Linked DNA regions of Astyanax mexicanus. The protein of the gene in region 2 purifies or fractionates together with the protein of the main gene of each other region. This does not show direct contact. Links are inferred from orthologs where the notes say so. Each region holds a gene or a part of one and is shown on either strand. Other genes may lie near its edges.

Region 1 (9,117 bases), on a different chromosome or scaffold from region 2:
CCAGAACCCACAGTCAAGATGAACTGGTTCCCCAAGTCTAGAGGCGACTGAAGGAGTTCTACTGGAGACGCTGAAGATCACTGAGTGAGAAAGAGAGTAAGTTGTTCAACTTAAAAAGCACATTAACTTTTTTCTCTCTGATTCTCCGTACACTGTATGTTGCCTAATAAACTTAATGTACATTATCGGGCTGTTCAATTTTTTCTACTAATTTTGAATGCTAAAGGACCATTACGGATTATATTTTCTGTAGTTACTCATGACATGATCAGGATGTATAATTAGATATTAAGGAATGTTTTGATTTGAACAGTGCAGTTCGCCATAGAAATCTGTGTGGGATGTACCCTCTAAATTTGCCCACCACTATTCCCACAGTCCCATTTTCACACCCCAGGTAGCAGAAATCTCTATCCAGTGTTGGACTTCTGTAGCCCAGTAGAAACTTTATGTGCTTATTTCAAAAGAATATTTTTAGCACATAAACTAACCTGTATGGCACCCAAGAAAGAAAAACATCCCAATCTGCTACTGGTATAAATGTAAAAACACAATTGATATAGTAAACGAAACTTAGTGCACAGTGAATAGTCAATGAAAACACTTCAAAAATGACCTTTTGACACTGCAACTAAAAAACACAACAACCCAAATCTGCTTTAACTTAGTGGTTTGTAATATGTGGTTTGTACAACATTCATTTTCTCATCTGATCCTATATTCCTCTGCATACAAGTCTGTGTTCTCTTGTGCAAAATATGCAAGATATGCAAGCTCATTTTACCTTTTGGTTCTTTAGAAGCTGATGGAGCTTGCATCACATTGGACAGTGTTAGCTGTCCATCAAGACCCTGTGCTGCCACAGAATACCAATCGCCATCCAGGTAGGTGGGGCTTTGGCCTGTCTCTGTGAGTGATGCAGCCCATTTAACCAAAGATGCTTGAGGAGTGAAGGGGTTTATCTCACACTGAGGTTTGGTAAGGGAGCCCTCAGGTGGATGGAGTGAAGAGCTGCAGAAAGTGGCAGCGGGATCTGAAAGATATAAAGAGAAGGAAGTGTAAAATCATTTTCCAGCATACTCAGATTTTTATATTACATTTACAAACCAGTGATTAATATCTATGTATTTTGACACGTTCAGCAATGCTTCAGGAGTGACAGACAGAAAAAAATCATAATTATTCCAAATAAAAATGCTGGTTGGCCTGACATGATAATTATGTTATTGATTTATTGCACATTATACAAACACATCTTTAATAGTTTTACATATTGAGGAGAATCTATGTGAACCTATCTGCAGAATGGAATGAGCCCTAAATATTTCTGGGTTTTGTTAACGAGAAGAGCCCATTATTTTATTTTATTTTTTATACTCCAATTTTAACATCTAAAAGTTTCTAATAATTAAAAGTAAAGTGCATTGTTAATTAAAAGTGGTGTAATTGCATTAATATGCTTCATTTAAAAAATATTACCATTTATCACAATAATTTCTGGAAAAAATATACAATCGAAAAAAAAAATGCTTATAGTTTCAGGACTAGGTACAAGTCACAATTTGAACCAGGTTATAGATATCACCTGTAATTGGTACAGGCAAAAATTGTAAAATAAATACCAAAAATATTTAGTATGATCTTTTTTTTGGGTTTGTTTGAGACTTTCAAGCATTGCTTATACATGATATACATGCTGTCCAGGGCCTAGTATTTTTTAAAACACTGCACATTAATAAAAGATTAAGAAAGCATCACACTAAGATATGCATGGAATTCATACTGGTCCATGCTACTTTTTCCAGACGGGTACTAAAGTTACTCTAATACTAACCTGTTACATAGTAAATTCGGGAGAAATCGATGTCTGATGGAGGTTTCTGCTGCATCTTTGGACTATCTGGGTCCTTTCTGATGTAGATGAGGGATTTCTCTTGGCTCATAGCAGCTGAAAAGCCCCCTCCACGGCCTGGTTTCTCCTGCACAAACCAGCACTCCAGCACAGAGCATCCTGAAACTGTCACCAACAGATAAAATGGTCTTTTAGACAAACATCTTGTGTGAACCTTTAAATATGAAAGTATGAAACCGATGTACACTTACATCTGTAAAAGTAAAAGTAAAACAGAACAAAAATATTGCTGACAGATAAGGAAGGCAAATTATGCCATAACAAGGTTGCACACACACACACACACACACACACACACTGGGGTGCTGTTAACTTGTGGTTTCTCAGGCTGATAACTTTGATGAACATATCCGGTCTAACAGAAGAACCCATGTTCTTCCTTTCCTGGAGTGGTCCTGATGAGAGCCAGTTTCATCATAGCCTTTTTGATGGTCTTTGCGTGACTACCTCTAAAAAGCTGACTAAGAAAGGCTTATTTGTTTACTAAATAATTCCACGTTTTTCTTTATAGTTTGGATGACTTAAATATAAAAAAGGAAATCCACCTAATTTAAGGATTTTTTTATTTTTTATTTTAAATGAATAATTTAGTCATCCTCACTATAAAGGAACACATAAAGGAATAATGTAATAAAAAAAAGCCAAAACATTCTGTGAAGCATTTAGGTGCTCTTATCTGGGGTGCTGGTAACTGGTTCTGTTTCTGAGGCTCGCAACTCTGATAAACTTATCCATTGCAACAGAGATAACTCAGGGTCCTGATGAGAGCCAGTTTCATCATAATGTTTTTGGATGGTCATTGTGACTGCACCTGAGGATACTTTCTTAAGAAGGTCTTAAAATATTTCTACTTTTTTACTTAGTTTTTTACTTAGTCATAATATGTATTAGAACATTACTCAAATCGGGCTGTTCACTATATACCAACTCTACCTCGTTACAACACAACTGATGCTCTCAAACACATTAATTCAAATTCTTGACGAAGCACAGCTGTCAATCTAGGAGATTGTCTCTAAATAGCTGATTAAAAGTTTTTTTGTTTGTTTACTGAATAATTCCAGTAATGTTTTTTTCTTCATAGTTTGGATGGCTTTAGTTTAAAAAATAAAAACCCACTGATTTTAAGGTGTGTCCAAACTTATATATAATGAGTTTGTTTGCCAAATTGAAAACCTTTAGAACATAATGGAACATAAGAGGAAAAAACACGAAAAATGTGATTAAAAAAACAGATTTACTTCACCAAATATTGATTTCTGAACTCTTAAAACTTTATAAATATGAACTTGTTTTCTTTGCGTTATTTGAGGTCTTAAAGCTCTGCATATTTTTCATTTTCTGCAAACAAATGCTCTAAATGACAATATTTTCATTTGGAATTTGGGAGAAATGTTGTCCGTAGTTTATAGAATAAAACTACAATGTTCATTTTACTCAAACATATACCTACAAACATAACATTTTTCCATATGGAATCTTAATGCTATAATGAGTCTGACAAGAGTAAAAACATGCAGTTAACACACTGTCGACTTATAAAAGCTGTCCAAACTGTTAGGTTAGCCATGTTTTTCTCGATAAATGTTCTTCAAATTAGCTCGCTATTGTATTTCCTGTCGAACAGTGAGTTTATACAGGCTGCTGTTGTCATTAGTAAGCTAACCTGGCGATGGCCATAGTTAATGTGTTCTGTCGAATTCTGCTACCTTGTCGAACCGTGCTGCCCCAATGAATATTTAACTGTAAAAATACAAAAGAAGCACTATTTTAGGGCATGTACCCAGTGATATTCCAGTAGATGTACGTTATTAGATTTGGAGTGCATAATTCATTGTACCATGGCAAAGTTATAGTAAATATAGCTCATTACAAACTGCTTTTGTATTTATTTATGATAATAAGTGTAATTTTTAGTTTCCATTTACACTTCTGTGCAATGATAGTGCGTCCAGGTTGTTTAATGCACATAACGCCCCCTAAACCAGATTAATTATACATAAAACACGAGAAAGAATTAAATTGTGTAGGTCGGCGCATGCGCAGTACCTTTGGGAAGCATGTATCGATGGGTAGCAAAATTCGACAGAACAAATGTCTGTGCAGGGCAGCTGTAATGCATAATACTAATACTCACCGCCGATGGCCAAAGTACAGGCGAGAATTGAAATCTTGTAAATAGTGGAAATGTCACGCATTTTTCTTCGCTGTCGGTGTGTTTAGAGTGCTCGTACGACTTTTAGAGCAGTCAGAAAACAGCAGCGAAAATCCCCCTGCGAAACCCAGCAACACACATTTCACTTTCACTTATGAACGCGGACTGCGCATGCGCTGGAAAAAAGTCTCAAAAATATCTGAGCCAGGTTTGGACATTTTAATGTTATTATTTTAATTTTAAGTTTTTTTGTAGGGTGTTTTAGCAAATACATACTACCTTCAAACAGGCCATGGAAATTGTTTTTGTTCATAATGTGTTCATAAACGTAAAAATCCATCCCAGGGTTTCGTACCGACTGCATGTGCGGCTCTGTGTAAAGCGCAGCTGCAGCAGAGCCGCCCAGGCAGTTGGCAGGAAACCCTGTGATGGATTTTTACGTTCTGGAGCTGGTTTACCCACCCTTAATCTTCATATTTCTCTTTTCAAAAGCAGCATGTGGTTTTATTAAACACAGGGTGGCGCTGCAGGACAGTCGTTTCCACAGACCCTGAACTTCACCACTAGGGGCAGATCATAAACTGACCTTATTTCACCCTGTTCTCACCAATCATGTGATTTCTCAACAGCTCCTGCTCAAACAAAGCCTTTGCCTCATTAGTGATTTTTCTTTTATTTTTAGATGGGGATATATTTAGATGTATTTTTATATTGATGTATTTTATCCAGAAAATTTCAAATTTCAAATTTCAAAATCCATTTGATTATCAGTATTTAGTTTTTAGGGCAATTATTATCTAAGAAAAATAAGATAAAAGATAAAATAAAGAATAAAATAGATAAATGGGCTGTGTTGAGGTCAGTAAAACTGCTACATCTGTATGTACAGCTCTTTAAGAAAAAAAAGAGACCAGTTTAGTTTCTGAATTAGTTTCTTTGATTTTGCTATTTATATGTATATGTTTGAATAAAATGAACATTGTTGTTTTATTCTGTGAACTACTGACATCATTTCTCCCAAATTCCAAATAAAAATATTGTCATTTAGAATATTTATTATTATCAGTTTTCTTGCATCTTGGCATGTTCTCCTCCACCAGTCTTACACATTGTTATTAGATAACTTTATGCCACTCCTGGTGCAAAGAATTAAGCAGTTCAGCTTGGTTTGATGGCTTGTGATCATCCATCTTTCTCTTGATTATATTCCAGAGGTTTTCAATTTGGTAAAATCAAAGAAACTCATAATTTGTAAGTGGTCTCTTATTTTCTTTCCAGAGCTGTAAATAAGAATGTGGGGGCTGACTTACTTAATTGGGGTACGCTGTAGGGTTCACTGCTTATTCTAGTAGGGGGGTGAGGTCAGTCCTAAAAAGGAAATTTTGTTGTACACTATGTTTAATGTTAACAAGTATTGTCACAAGGCCTATAACTCTGCTGATTTAATGTTATTACGTTTACCTTCCTCAGTGGGTCAGCACCTATGGAGTTCTATGATCTTGTGGCCTGGGCTCTAATACTTTCCTATACTGCTTTAAGTCAGGGAGTGTCCTTTTAATATGTTTTGTTTTCCTTAATCAATCTTTTTGTTTTGCATTTTCACTGGGTTTAAATAAATGATCACTGTTTGAACGGACTCATGTGGCATCAGCGTGGTACCTCCATCCACTACATCCTACTCAGCTATACTACCTGGTGACATTGTGTCTCCCTGGGAGTTCGACGAGCATCGTCACATAGACATGCATATAAATAAGAAAAGTAGGGGAAAAGGAGCTAAAAGAAAAAGAAAAAGTGCAGCAACATGAGTATTAGTGTGAGAAGAGTGAATAAGGCACTTTTCCTGTAGCAGCATGGATAAGTATGAATGAACAGCAGTAACATCAGTTGCGGTTTCAAATTTAGGGTATTCGGGTGATGCCCCACCACAGGGCGAGAAGGAGGAAAAAGTTTCCAGCACATTTAACCAGTGTTAAACTTTCAGTGACTGTTCCTAGTCAACCAGTCCGGCCTCTAATTATCTTAGACCAACTCCCACACTTTAAACCCATACTTGTTTGAACTCAAATTATCTGTTTTACATAAAATTGGATATTTCTAAACAATCCTCAACTATTTTGAGATAGTTGAACATTTGTGGGCTCCACTGGCTTCTGTCACAATCTACACCCACACAAGCTAACCTAAGTTTTCATTACCCAATACCTAAATTGTTTAAGGCTGAGGTAATGCTACATGAACAAAAAATAAACTAATTGTTTTATGCAAAGTTTTAAGATTTGTTTTGTAAGAAAATTATATGTAGCATACATAATCAGATACTGTATGAATTTTGCTATTGAATAATGTGTAGCATATGTTGTGTAGTACAACCTCCGGATAATTGTTGACAATTGCTAATTTTAGAATGATCAGCAACACTTATAGCTTACATTAGCAACATCATATCTCACATCAGATAATGCATTATAAATTATTTTTAAAAGAACCTGTTTTGGGGTAAATTGAGATAATCCTTTATTAATCCCACAGGACAAATCAGAACTGACACTTTTGACCCAAAAAAGAAATACAACTTTGTTTAGTGTTCAGTTAAAAAAACTTTATTTAAAAATGATTTCTGACTTAATTTGGCCCATTTACAGAGCAATGACAATGTTTCTACATCAGACTAAATAAGAACTGATCTGGAATCAGAACATTCCTTTTCTGTAGCGGTGGATTAGCTCAGACACATCCTCCTTGCATACCTTGATCCAGCCATCCTCCTGCATATGATAGACTACAAAGACATAAAAGAAAAAACAGATATCACAAATCTGCATATAAACATGGATTTGATGAAAAGTCTGTAGTGTTTATTGCATAATTTGTATGGTTTCATCATGCTGAAACAAATTGTAATCTACTGTAAACATAATTCACTACTTTGAATGTAGTATTGTGTATTATGTATTGTGTGTATTATGAGTATGAGTATTATGAGTGCATTATGAGTAAAAATGACTTACGGTTGACCACTCCACCAGAGTAGGCATCTCTGTGAGTGGCGTGGGCAATGCCACGTCGGCCCAGCTCATACGCCTCTTCTACAGTCAAATCTTCACGGTAGCCAGCATCCACTACACCGTACGCATAGCTGTTCCCACAGCCCGTGGAAAACATCCAACCTGAGAGACGTGTACCTTCGGAATCAACATAATACAAACCTGGACCCTGAATGTCAAAAGCAAGGGCAAAAGGATCAGTGGCAGGTCAACTCAGTACGAATCATGACATCATTTAAAAATATCTCATAGATGTATATATTGCTCATCAATAAAAATAAAATCTCAAAAATATACACATATAATGCTGTACCTTCTTGTCCCAGCCACAGATCATACTACCCATGGAGAGGCCCATCCCTCGATAACCTATCATCATGTTGGACAGCAGCTTGGATGCTGCAGACACAGAGATCCTTTGACCATTGCGTAGCTGGTAAAGCCTGAAGACACAAACAAAACACAAAACACTCACACATAATGCAACACTTATGCTTTGGTCATTTATGTTGGAGTAAAAAATGTGTTTTTATTAGCTATACTGGTAATTTTTCAATTTAAATTAATCGTAAGTAAAATTTACTTGACATATTTAGTTCAAATACACTTTACCGATATCTTAATTATTTATTAGTAATTTGTTAGCGTCTCATATCTATTTGCTTTCCATTATTGGACATTTCACCTTATTTCTATGTCAAAATAAAACAGTGTTAATAAAGTGCTATGGAAAAGTAAAGTATTCTTTTTTTTATTTGTCAGACTGAAATGTTTCCTTTTATCCAACTAAACCAACTAATTAAACACACAATAAGGGTTTTAAATCATATCACCCATATTTAAAATAAATCGTCCCCATAAAAATACATCTAACATCTGGTTGTGACACTCTTGGCAGTAATAACTGCAATCAAATGTTTGCAATCACTTATGTTGAGGAATTTCAGTTTGCTTGTCTTTGCAATATTGTTTTTATTCAACTACACTGGTGAGTTTTCAGGCACGATGTGTCCATTTAAGACTTGGCCATTCCTACACCGTAATTCTTTTTTTGGGCCATAGACTTGCTTGTATGCTTTGAATCATTGTCCTTTTGCATAACCCATCTTTGCTTAAGCAAATCACAATCTGACTATTGGTATTATGTTCTTATGCAGAGTTAGCTTTCCACCAGATTTATCAAGATCCATGTCTTACAAAACATTCTACCACCACAGAATATTATCCCACAGATCCTAAAATTGTGTACGTTGATAGTAACTGAGGCACAAAATGACTGCAGATCCTTAAGATGTTTTTGTAGGCAATGCACACATGCTGAATTTGTTTAACAGGCTGCCCACTAAATTAAAAGTTTCACCACTGTTCAGAATTTTCTCCATTCATGGATAATGACTCCCAAAGACCTAGTTTAAGACTTAGCTTTGTAACACTTCCCCGACTGGCAGACTGTATACATTCTGGGAATGTTTACATCTGTATTTGCATTCGAACACTGTCATTAAATTGTACCTGGGTGTGGTTAGGGAAATTGAACCCAACTATCAACTGAATGTGGTTAATTGAATGATTTAGTTGATATAAGGAATAACTTTTTTTGCATGAAAATTAGCACCATAGCATGTTTAATGCACTTTATCTTATGTAAAGAAAAAGATTTTCCTTTTGGGTGCATAGATGCATCTGCTGAGTTGAGATGACTGGCAAAATTTCCTGACATGGCAACAAATGCACACACATGCGCACACATACACACACACAGTTGATGGTAACTTTATATGTGCACTCCCTCCATCCTCAAACGATTCAAGTTCGAACAAACCTGCACTCTTTAGCCAGGAGTCTTTCCCAGTACTGACAGTCTGCTGCACTGCCGGACATGGTACCCAGCAGGTAAGGGTTGATCTCAATCACCTTATTTGCTTCCTTTGTGTCTATTAGAAACAAAACATATAGGATGGTATAAAAATTACACGACTGGGTGTGGTATTGTAATTTACAAT
Region 2 (8,586 bases):
TGGTTGGATGAGGAACTGCTAAATCTGAGGAAATGCTAAATCTGTCAAAGCTCACAATTTTTGATTTTATATTTATTAAGCCTTATTTCAGTATCAAACGTTTTGATCAAAGTTAATATAACTTATAAATTAAAAGGATTTATGTTAATAGAGCAACAAGCAACCATTTTTCCATGCAACTGTAATATTTGATTGAATAAATAGTATATTGAGAGTTATTTAACATTAAGGAGTAATTACATTCATTTTGTATTACATCTGGTTACATTTTCTTATATTTATAAGTTACATCTGGCCCTCAGAGGACAGCCAATATGCCAATGTGGCCCTCGGCAAAAATGAGTTTGAGACCCCTGGTTTAGAGGGACTAGAGGATTGAAAGTAACAGGATTAAATAACAATATTTTGTAACAGGGTTGTAACAAAAGACAGTAAATACATAAGTCCGTTGTAAAAAATTTAATAATATTGTTTTTATACTCAGAACACACAAATACACAAAAATATATAATTACAGTTTTTTTCAACTGTTTACACACTAAATCTTTGCTTGTCACACTATTTTTTTTAAACATGCCCTTCAAACAACATTACCCCACACCAAATCTGCAAAACCATACACCAAACACACATTTTGCAAAACTCTACACACAAGTTTCTACCTAACACACAAAGATCAAACAGGAAGTTACTTGATTTCATCTTTCAAACACAACCTATCAGAATGCCACACTAAATCACCTGTGCTTCACTCCCACCCCTCACAGCACTCATTACTTTATTGAACACCAACGAATCATTGGCTAAGTATAGGCCTATAAATAGGTCAAATGTCAAGATGTCTGTTTTGAACCATGAATGACAACGAAGAGAGAGCCGGGAGAGTTTGGTAGAGGCAGAGGACGTCCACGAGGAGTTCAGATTCGAGGAGGAGGAGTTGGAAGGGGAGGAAGAGGACGAGTTGGACAGGGAAGAGGACAAGGGCAAAGAAGGGAAGCAAGGAGAGCTGTCTCAGATGAGATTAGGGCTACATTGGTTGATCATGTGATCAATCATGGGTTGACCATGAGAGAGGCTGGACTGCGCGTCCAGCCAAACTTGAGTCGATTCACAGTGACAGCCATAATCTATGGAAGCCCATTTCCGCCACCTGAAGAAAAAAAACGTCCTCAACTAAGTCATAATTATGGGATAGTAAGTCATAATTATGAGATAGTAAGTCATAATTATGAGATAAAAAAGTCATAATTATGAGATAGAAAGTCATAATTATGAGATGACTTTTTATCTCATAAATATGACTTACTATCTCATAATTATGACTTACTATCTCATAATTATGACTTTCTATCTCATAATTATGACTTACTATCCCATAATTATGACTTTTCTATCTCATAATTATGACTTACAGTTTTTCTCGATTGTTTACACACAAATATTGGTACTTGAAACACAATGACCACAAAATGTAACTCATGCACCAATACTGTTTGTAGTAAGTGTAAAACATAGTTCATCATTATGATGAATGGAGAATGGTGTTTTACACTGAGCACATCAGTGTTCAACTGCTTCTTTTGATTGTATGTTCATATGATGGTTTGTGTGTGTCATCTGAACACAAAATAGCCTTTTGTGAAGAGATAACACTCTTTTGAATGGAATGTTTCATTTTGCAGGAGAATTAAAGGGTTTTGCACCTATTGTGTGCGTGTTTGTTGGATTTGTGTGTTGAGTTCTGAGAATATAAGGCATGTTTTCAGAAAATATGTGTAACAAATACAGAAAAACTGTAAGTGCCTTTAAAGCAGAGAATGCTCTAGAATATGCAGAACAGTGGAAATATGCAGGAATAGGGTGTAGAAACACTGCTGTAAAGTGACTTCTGTTCATTTGTAGTTTACAGTAACACCAATCACAAGATCACAAATCAACCGGTTATATTGTAAAGTATGTTTTTGTATGGTGTTTCAAATTCGCGCTCAATGTGCCCTCTTTAGACTTTGAGCACCTGCCCCTCCAAATGTCTCTGCACAGGCCCTGATCTGGGATCAGTCAATTATCTAACTATCTATCTACCTACTCACTTGCTGTTTACAGGCCTGTAGGTCAAAGTTGCCAGGTCCGCGGTTTTCCTGCCAAATTAGGCTTGTTTGAAAATTCAAAATGATCTTGTTTTAAAAATTACCATGGCAGGCAAAAAAAAAAAAAAAAAAAACACACAATGTAACCAGATATCACCAGGTAATGAAAAAAAAAAAGTTAAAGTGGAGAGAAGAGAGCTCAGGAGGAGCAAGAACAGAAATGAGTAAGTAAAAGTCTTTTTGTGGTTGTTATAAAATAAGTAATAAAACGCAAATGTTACAATATTATTAATGACTTCAATGAAAGGTAAATAGTAATACTGATAATAAATCCCTTGCTTCGATGATGAGACAGACATATATTTTGGGGTATTTTACAGTTTTTCTTTGTCGATTTGGTACATTTCTCAGATCAGAATTGAAATTCTCAAAACTGTCTATTCAATCTCCATGCATTTCTCATTGTGTTTCACATTTTGCAAATGCGTTTGTCATTCAAATTCATGCAAATGATCATGTACAATTTTCAGCTGTTTTTTGCATTATCCATTGCTTATGTCGTGCTCATCAAAATATGATGTGCTGATTATCTGTTAAATTGTCTTACCCTCCAAAACAATTAGGTTTTAGGTCATTGCCTAAGTCAAATACATGCAAAAGTGCTAAACATGTTGTCATAATCTCTCAGGCATAATTCATACATTTCTATGAAACCTTTTTGGTACATTTTGGTAATTTATCCTAAATTAATGATTTTTTTTTTTTTTTGTCTTATCTTGTTATTTTGACTGCCTTGTTCTTAGGCATTGACACACAGGCTAGGCATTTTGATGTCACTGACAAGTTGATTTAAATAAAGATTTGCTGTTGAGGCAAAAACAAAGAATTGTGAGTGAGATACGAGCTTTGGCATGTTTTTCATTGAGTTTTGCTGTTTGCACTGTTTAAACTGTTTTGAGAAATGCACTTGTTGTGATGCCAATGTAAATCATGATGTGAGAAATGAACCAAATCAACTGAGAAAAACTGTAATAGTGTTTAATATCTATCTACCTATACCTATATCTATCTATATTAAATAGTGTTTAATTTTCTAGTAGGTAAATAGATATTAAAAACTATTACAGTTTTACAGTTGATTTGGTGCATTTCTTTTTTTTTTGCATTTGGTGCATTTCACTTGCTATTTACAGGCCTGTAGGTCAGAGTTGCCAGGTTTGCGTTTTCCCGCCAAATTGGGCTTGTTTTAAAAATTACCACGACCACCAAAAAAAGTCACAAAAAAACACACACAAAAAAATTACAATGTAAGCAGAAATGACCGTCAATGAGAAACAAATGATAAAGAGGAGGGGCAAGAACAGAAATGAGTAAGTAAAAGTCTTTTTTTGTTGTTATAATATAATTTATAAAACACAAATGTTACAGTATTACTAATGACTTTAAGGTCAATAGTAATACTCATAACAACTCCCTTAATATTTTGGGCTAGTTTAAGCTTCTAAAGTAGGTTTTACTTAGATTTTACTTTTACTCGAGTACATTTTAACACAAGTAATCTACTTTGCTACATTGGAAAACTCCCAATTACTGAGTAAAAAATAAAATGCTGAAAAAAAAACAATTGTCTGAATTAAAAAATATATTAATTGGCTTGGATGCTCTGGCGCACGGATGCTCGCGCGTGGAATAACGAGGCAGTAACGTCCTCATGCAATACAAAATGTGCCCCGCCAGACAGAGCTGTCAGCTTTCAAAACTTCCTCATCAAACCTGAGAAAGCATGTGGTAGCAAGTATTTTTATCATTAAACAATCTTTTGAATGTAAAAAAAATGTAAATAGCAGTTAAAGCAGAGCAATGGCAAGTTAAAATATAACAATGACCTGTAAACCTATAAAATTACAGTTTATAGTCACCTATATGAACATAACTTTTTAACAGTAAAGAAAAGAATGGATCATAGAAACCTTGTTGCCACTTATTCTTGAAAATGTTTTATGGGGTGGTCTGGACAAATACTGGTTGAAAGGTCCAAATTATTATGTGAAATAATTGTTCATTAAAAACGATTTAATTTATGATTTGTTGTACTTTTTTACATCAAATAATCAAAAGTAACTATGTAACTTTTACTCAAAGTACATTTTAAATTGAGTACTTTTTTACTTTTACTCGAGTAGATTTTTAGATGGGTACAAGGTACTTTTACTTAATTACAATTTTTCAGTACTTTTTCCACCTCTGTCTGAAGGGCTGGTTTTAGACTGACTTTGGGCTGGATATCTAAGTTGTACCTGGCAACCCTGCTGTAGGCGCACATCCCCCGTTTGGCCGCACGGTTTCGCTAAATCGCACCGCGCCTCCTCCTGTAGCAGTTTAATGGTGGACAGCAGATCAGACCGACTGAAAACAGCGCGGTTTAATCCGGATTTCTCTGCTTTATTTATTAAATCCTCCTGATTATAAACATGTCTCTTCTTCAGGTGAGTCTTATTAACGGTGATATGTGTCTTTAAGAGGTTTTAGAGCGCGGGGAAGAGCGGGACTTTCCCGGCTGTTTTTTTACTTTCGCTTTCAGGTTCGTTATTTAGTTCAGCTGCGGATCTTTTACTGCTGAACAGCCTCGTGCCTGTTCTGCTGCTCCTCCAGCCTTTTATACATCTTTATACACTAATATATTTATTTATTTAAACCCTGAGAGCGTTTTTCACACCTTAAACACCTTCAGCTCACTCAGAGAGGAGTTATATTACCTTTAGACTGGAGGTAAACACCGTGTTCAAGGTGTTTCACAAGGTAAGAACTCATTTTTAATACATTTAAACTTTAAAATATTAAACTCTGCACCCTCACTGCTTAGTATTACTGCTTAAAATTAGACTACACTCTAAAAAACAGAGGTACGATATGAGTACTTTTTTGTACTCGAAGGTACATTCTTTATAATTGTACCCTCAAAGGTACAATATTGGTCTTTACAGGGTCAGATTTGTTCCCTCTGAAGTACAAAGTCATTTCTAACAGCAATAAGTACAAATTTGTACGTTACCATTTAACCAGCCAAAGGGTACATTCAGTATTCTGCATCACTGTACTAATGAACAGTATATATTTAAATTGCACATTTTTTTATTTGAAAGCCAGACAATTTTGTATCATCAAGTTTTTGAGCCATTTTTAGTTGATGACAATGTTTATAATCTTTATAATCTATACTGGCACAAAAACCATGGGTACAAAAAAGGACTTTCACTGAAAGGTACTTTTTTGTACCTCAATATAAGGTACAGCCCCAGCGACAAGCTTTGTACTCTTTTAAGTACAAATCTGTACTTATATTTCTTAGAGTGTATATAATACTTTTTTCATTTTAAGAACTTTTTAAGGCCAAAGTTGTTTTTTTTGTTCATATAAGGAAACAGTGAAAGCGAAAGTAACACATACAGCAACCTAAAACAGGGAACAGACATTAATTATTTATTTTTACTCTGTTTCTATACATGGCTTTTATATTATTTGGCTTCTTTAGAAATGTTTTTTTAAAACAACTATTTGGGCTAGTAATGTTTTACTTCTAATAAAACACATTGAATAAGAAGAAGTGTGTCCAAACTTTTGCTGGTACTGTATATATTGTATATCTAATATATAAATATAGAATTTATAGATATATGTTTGAGTAAAATGAACATTGTTGTTTTATTCTATAAACTACAGACAACATTTCTCCCAAATTCCAAATAAAAATATACAAAGTCTTTTAGAGCACTTTTTTGCTGAAAATGAGAAAAGATGCAGAGCTTTCAGACTTCAAATAATGCAAAGAAAAAAAAACAAGTTCATATTTATAATGTTTTAAGAGTTCAGAAATTAGTGTTTAGTGGAATAACCCTGTTTTTTAATCACAGTTTTGATCATGCGTCTTGGCATCATGTTCTCCTCCACCAGTCTTACACACTGCTTTTGGATAACTTTATGCCACTCCTGATGCAAAAATTAGCTTGTTTTTTTCCTGTTTCCAAAACTCATGTGACATTTAAAAAGGTGTTTAAAAGCAAGTTCACTAATTCCTTTGATTTTCTCTCAGCAAAAGTGTTTGTTTTAAAGAAATGGTTTACTGCATGTTTAAATAATTTATATTTCTGACTGTATATATATATAATCACTATATATGCATGCACATTGTATTTTTCTAAAATACGCACAGCCATTTTTATCTTATCAAGAAGACCCAAACCTGAAATTAATCAAATTTTTTACTATGCAAAGTATTAAACAAATGGATAAATTATGAACCAAACAGTTTTGGAAAAAGTGGTTTGCATTAACCAATATTCACATTAATATCAATCAATAAACGAGGGGGAAATACTCATTCCTGTTACTGGACTTCACTCCTGTTACTGACGCTCACTCCTGTTACTTTTTGAAACAGGGAACACACATTAATTTGTGTGTGTAATATATTTGTATACAGGGCTCTCATATTAGTTGGATTCTTTAGAAATGTTTTTTTTTACTATTTAGGAAAAAGGTTTGGCACCCCTAATTATTTTCATGATTTTCCTGATTATAAATTATTGGTTGTTGAGATCAGTAATTTCAGTTAAATATATCATATAGCAGATGAACACAGTTATATTTGAGAAGTGAAATAAAGTTTATAGGATTTACAGAAAGTGTGCAATAATTCTTTAAACTAACCCTTTTATTAATTTAAATACCTTTATTCATATTACATTACATTACATTACATTACAATACATTTAGCAGACACTTTTGTCCAAAGCTACTTACAATAGTGAAGTACAGAAATAATAGAAGGTAAAAACATCTTAATATAGGGCCTAAAGGAGGTCAAAGGGCAATCATGGAATAGAGGAGTGAAGGAGGGGATATACCAATACTAATTATGAGAAAGGGATAATGTGGCCTCAAATGACCTAAAAAAAAAATAGGATCGTTTAACATCATGGTTGAGTTCCTGTTGGGTTTCCTGGAGGTGCTGAACAATAGTTGCTGAAGTGCCAGCTCATCAAAAAATCACCATCTCAGTTGATCAGGTTTAGATCAGGGGATTAATGTGGAGAAAAGACACTTTTTTGTGGTTTAATGCATAATTTTATATTTGTCCCTTAATTGTTTCTTTTATATTGTCTTTAATTTTAATCTACAATGTAGAAAATAAATTATATAAAGAAAATGACCTTTTTGGACTGGTACACAAATGCATATTTGCAGTATTTGACTATTTCTTTTGGAATTTGTTATTTTATGGATGCTTATATGGATATATTACATTGAAATCCTGTTTGTGTGTTTCAGAGCGGTTGGGAATGAAGGCGGTGATGGCGTCGTATCTCTCCTTCGTGGTGTTGCTGTGTGTGGATGTGTGTGTGGTGAGGACTCTCGGGGGGGCTCGGTTCTCCCCTCAGTTGGATCAGCAGGCGTGGGTGACGCTGTGGGCCGTGGGGCTGATCCGGGCCGCTCTGCTGCTCCTCACAGTCTTCTCTTACCCCGGCAGCCCCGCCTGGCTGCGCAGCTCTGAGGGGGTGCAGACTGTGTTGGTGCACAGTTTATTATACCCTGCATACATTACCTTCCTCTGCACCTGCGGCTGCTCAGCGCTGGAGCTGCTGTGGGGATGGCACACCTGGGAGGGGGTGAGTGAGTTATTACTTATTACTCAGTTATTGACCTTAAAAGTTACCTCTAGCTTAGATAGAGACAGTTTTATACATCTCTGCTGGATTTTCTCAGTCAGCTTTATGAGGTAGAGTCACCTGGAATTCAGGCTTTCAGTTAACAGCTGTGCTGAACTCATCAAGAGTTAATTACTTTAATTTCTTGTCTCTTAATAAAGTGTTTGAGAGCATCAGTTGTAAAGTAGTGAAGAGGTAGAGTTACAGGTATACAGTGAATAATAGCTCTACTTGAGTAATGTTCTAATCCAGATTATGAAAAGCAACAACTACTAAACTAAAGTAAACTAAAGTACTAAATACTTGGAATAATTACTTTAAGACATGAAGGTCAATCAATCTGAAAGTCAATTTCAAGAACTTTGAAAGTATCCTCAAGTGCAGTCACAAAAAAGACCATCAAAAACATTATAATGATGGAACTGGCACTCATCAGGAACGCTACAGGAAAGAAAGAGCAATAGTTTCCAATAAATTCATCAGTTACCAGCCTCAGAAACCACAAGTTAACAGCTTAACCCCAGATAAGAGCATCTAAAATCTTCTTCACAGAGTATTTTGGATTGTTTAACTTTTAAGTTACTTCATGATTCATTATGTGTTCCTTCATAGTCTGGATCACTTCACTATTCATTTACTATGTAGGAAGCAAGTGTCAAAACTTTTGAGTGGCCCTGAATAATGGAATAAACAATGAAACCATTTCAATTAAACAATTAATCACATTTTAAATGCACAATTATCAACAACAAAAATGATTAGATAAATTATTTCTGATTCCAGAACCATACAAT

What was found.
Region 1: the proteins of tap1 (region 2) and tapbp.1 purify together in Homo sapiens (co-immunoprecipitation; 6 studies listed by BioGRID and IntAct, with this or other methods). This does not show direct contact. The link is inferred for Astyanax mexicanus from reciprocal best matches to the Homo sapiens genes TAP1 and TAPBP.

What each region holds. Positions count from the first base shown.
Region 1 is NC_064410.1:22,174,259-22,183,375, reverse strand, and holds the start of tapbp.1 (TAP binding protein (tapasin), tandem duplicate 1), read right to left. Parts: upstream 4,225-9,117; 5' UTR 4,111-4,224; coding exon 4,050-4,110; intron 2,018-4,049; coding exon 1,835-2,017; intron 1,034-1,834; coding exon 785-1,033; intron 81-784; coding exon 1-80. Other genes in the region: psmb8a (proteasome subunit beta type-8), read right to left, coding at 6,761-6,849, 7,079-7,283, 7,428-7,557, 8,937-9,048. UniProt on the Homo sapiens protein: Involved in the association of MHC class I with transporter associated with antigen processing (TAP) and in the assembly of MHC class I with peptide (peptide loading).
Region 2 is NC_064408.1:118,044,195-118,052,780, forward strand, and holds the start of tap1 (antigen peptide transporter 1), read left to right. Parts: upstream 1-4,434; 5' UTR 4,435-4,573; intron 4,574-4,655; exon of another isoform or gene 4,656-4,886; intron 4,887-7,415; 5' UTR 7,416-7,426; coding exon 7,427-7,753; intron 7,754-8,586. UniProt on the Homo sapiens protein: ABC transporter associated with antigen processing. In complex with TAP2 mediates unidirectional translocation of peptide antigens from cytosol to endoplasmic reticulum (ER) for loading onto MHC class I (MHCI) molecules.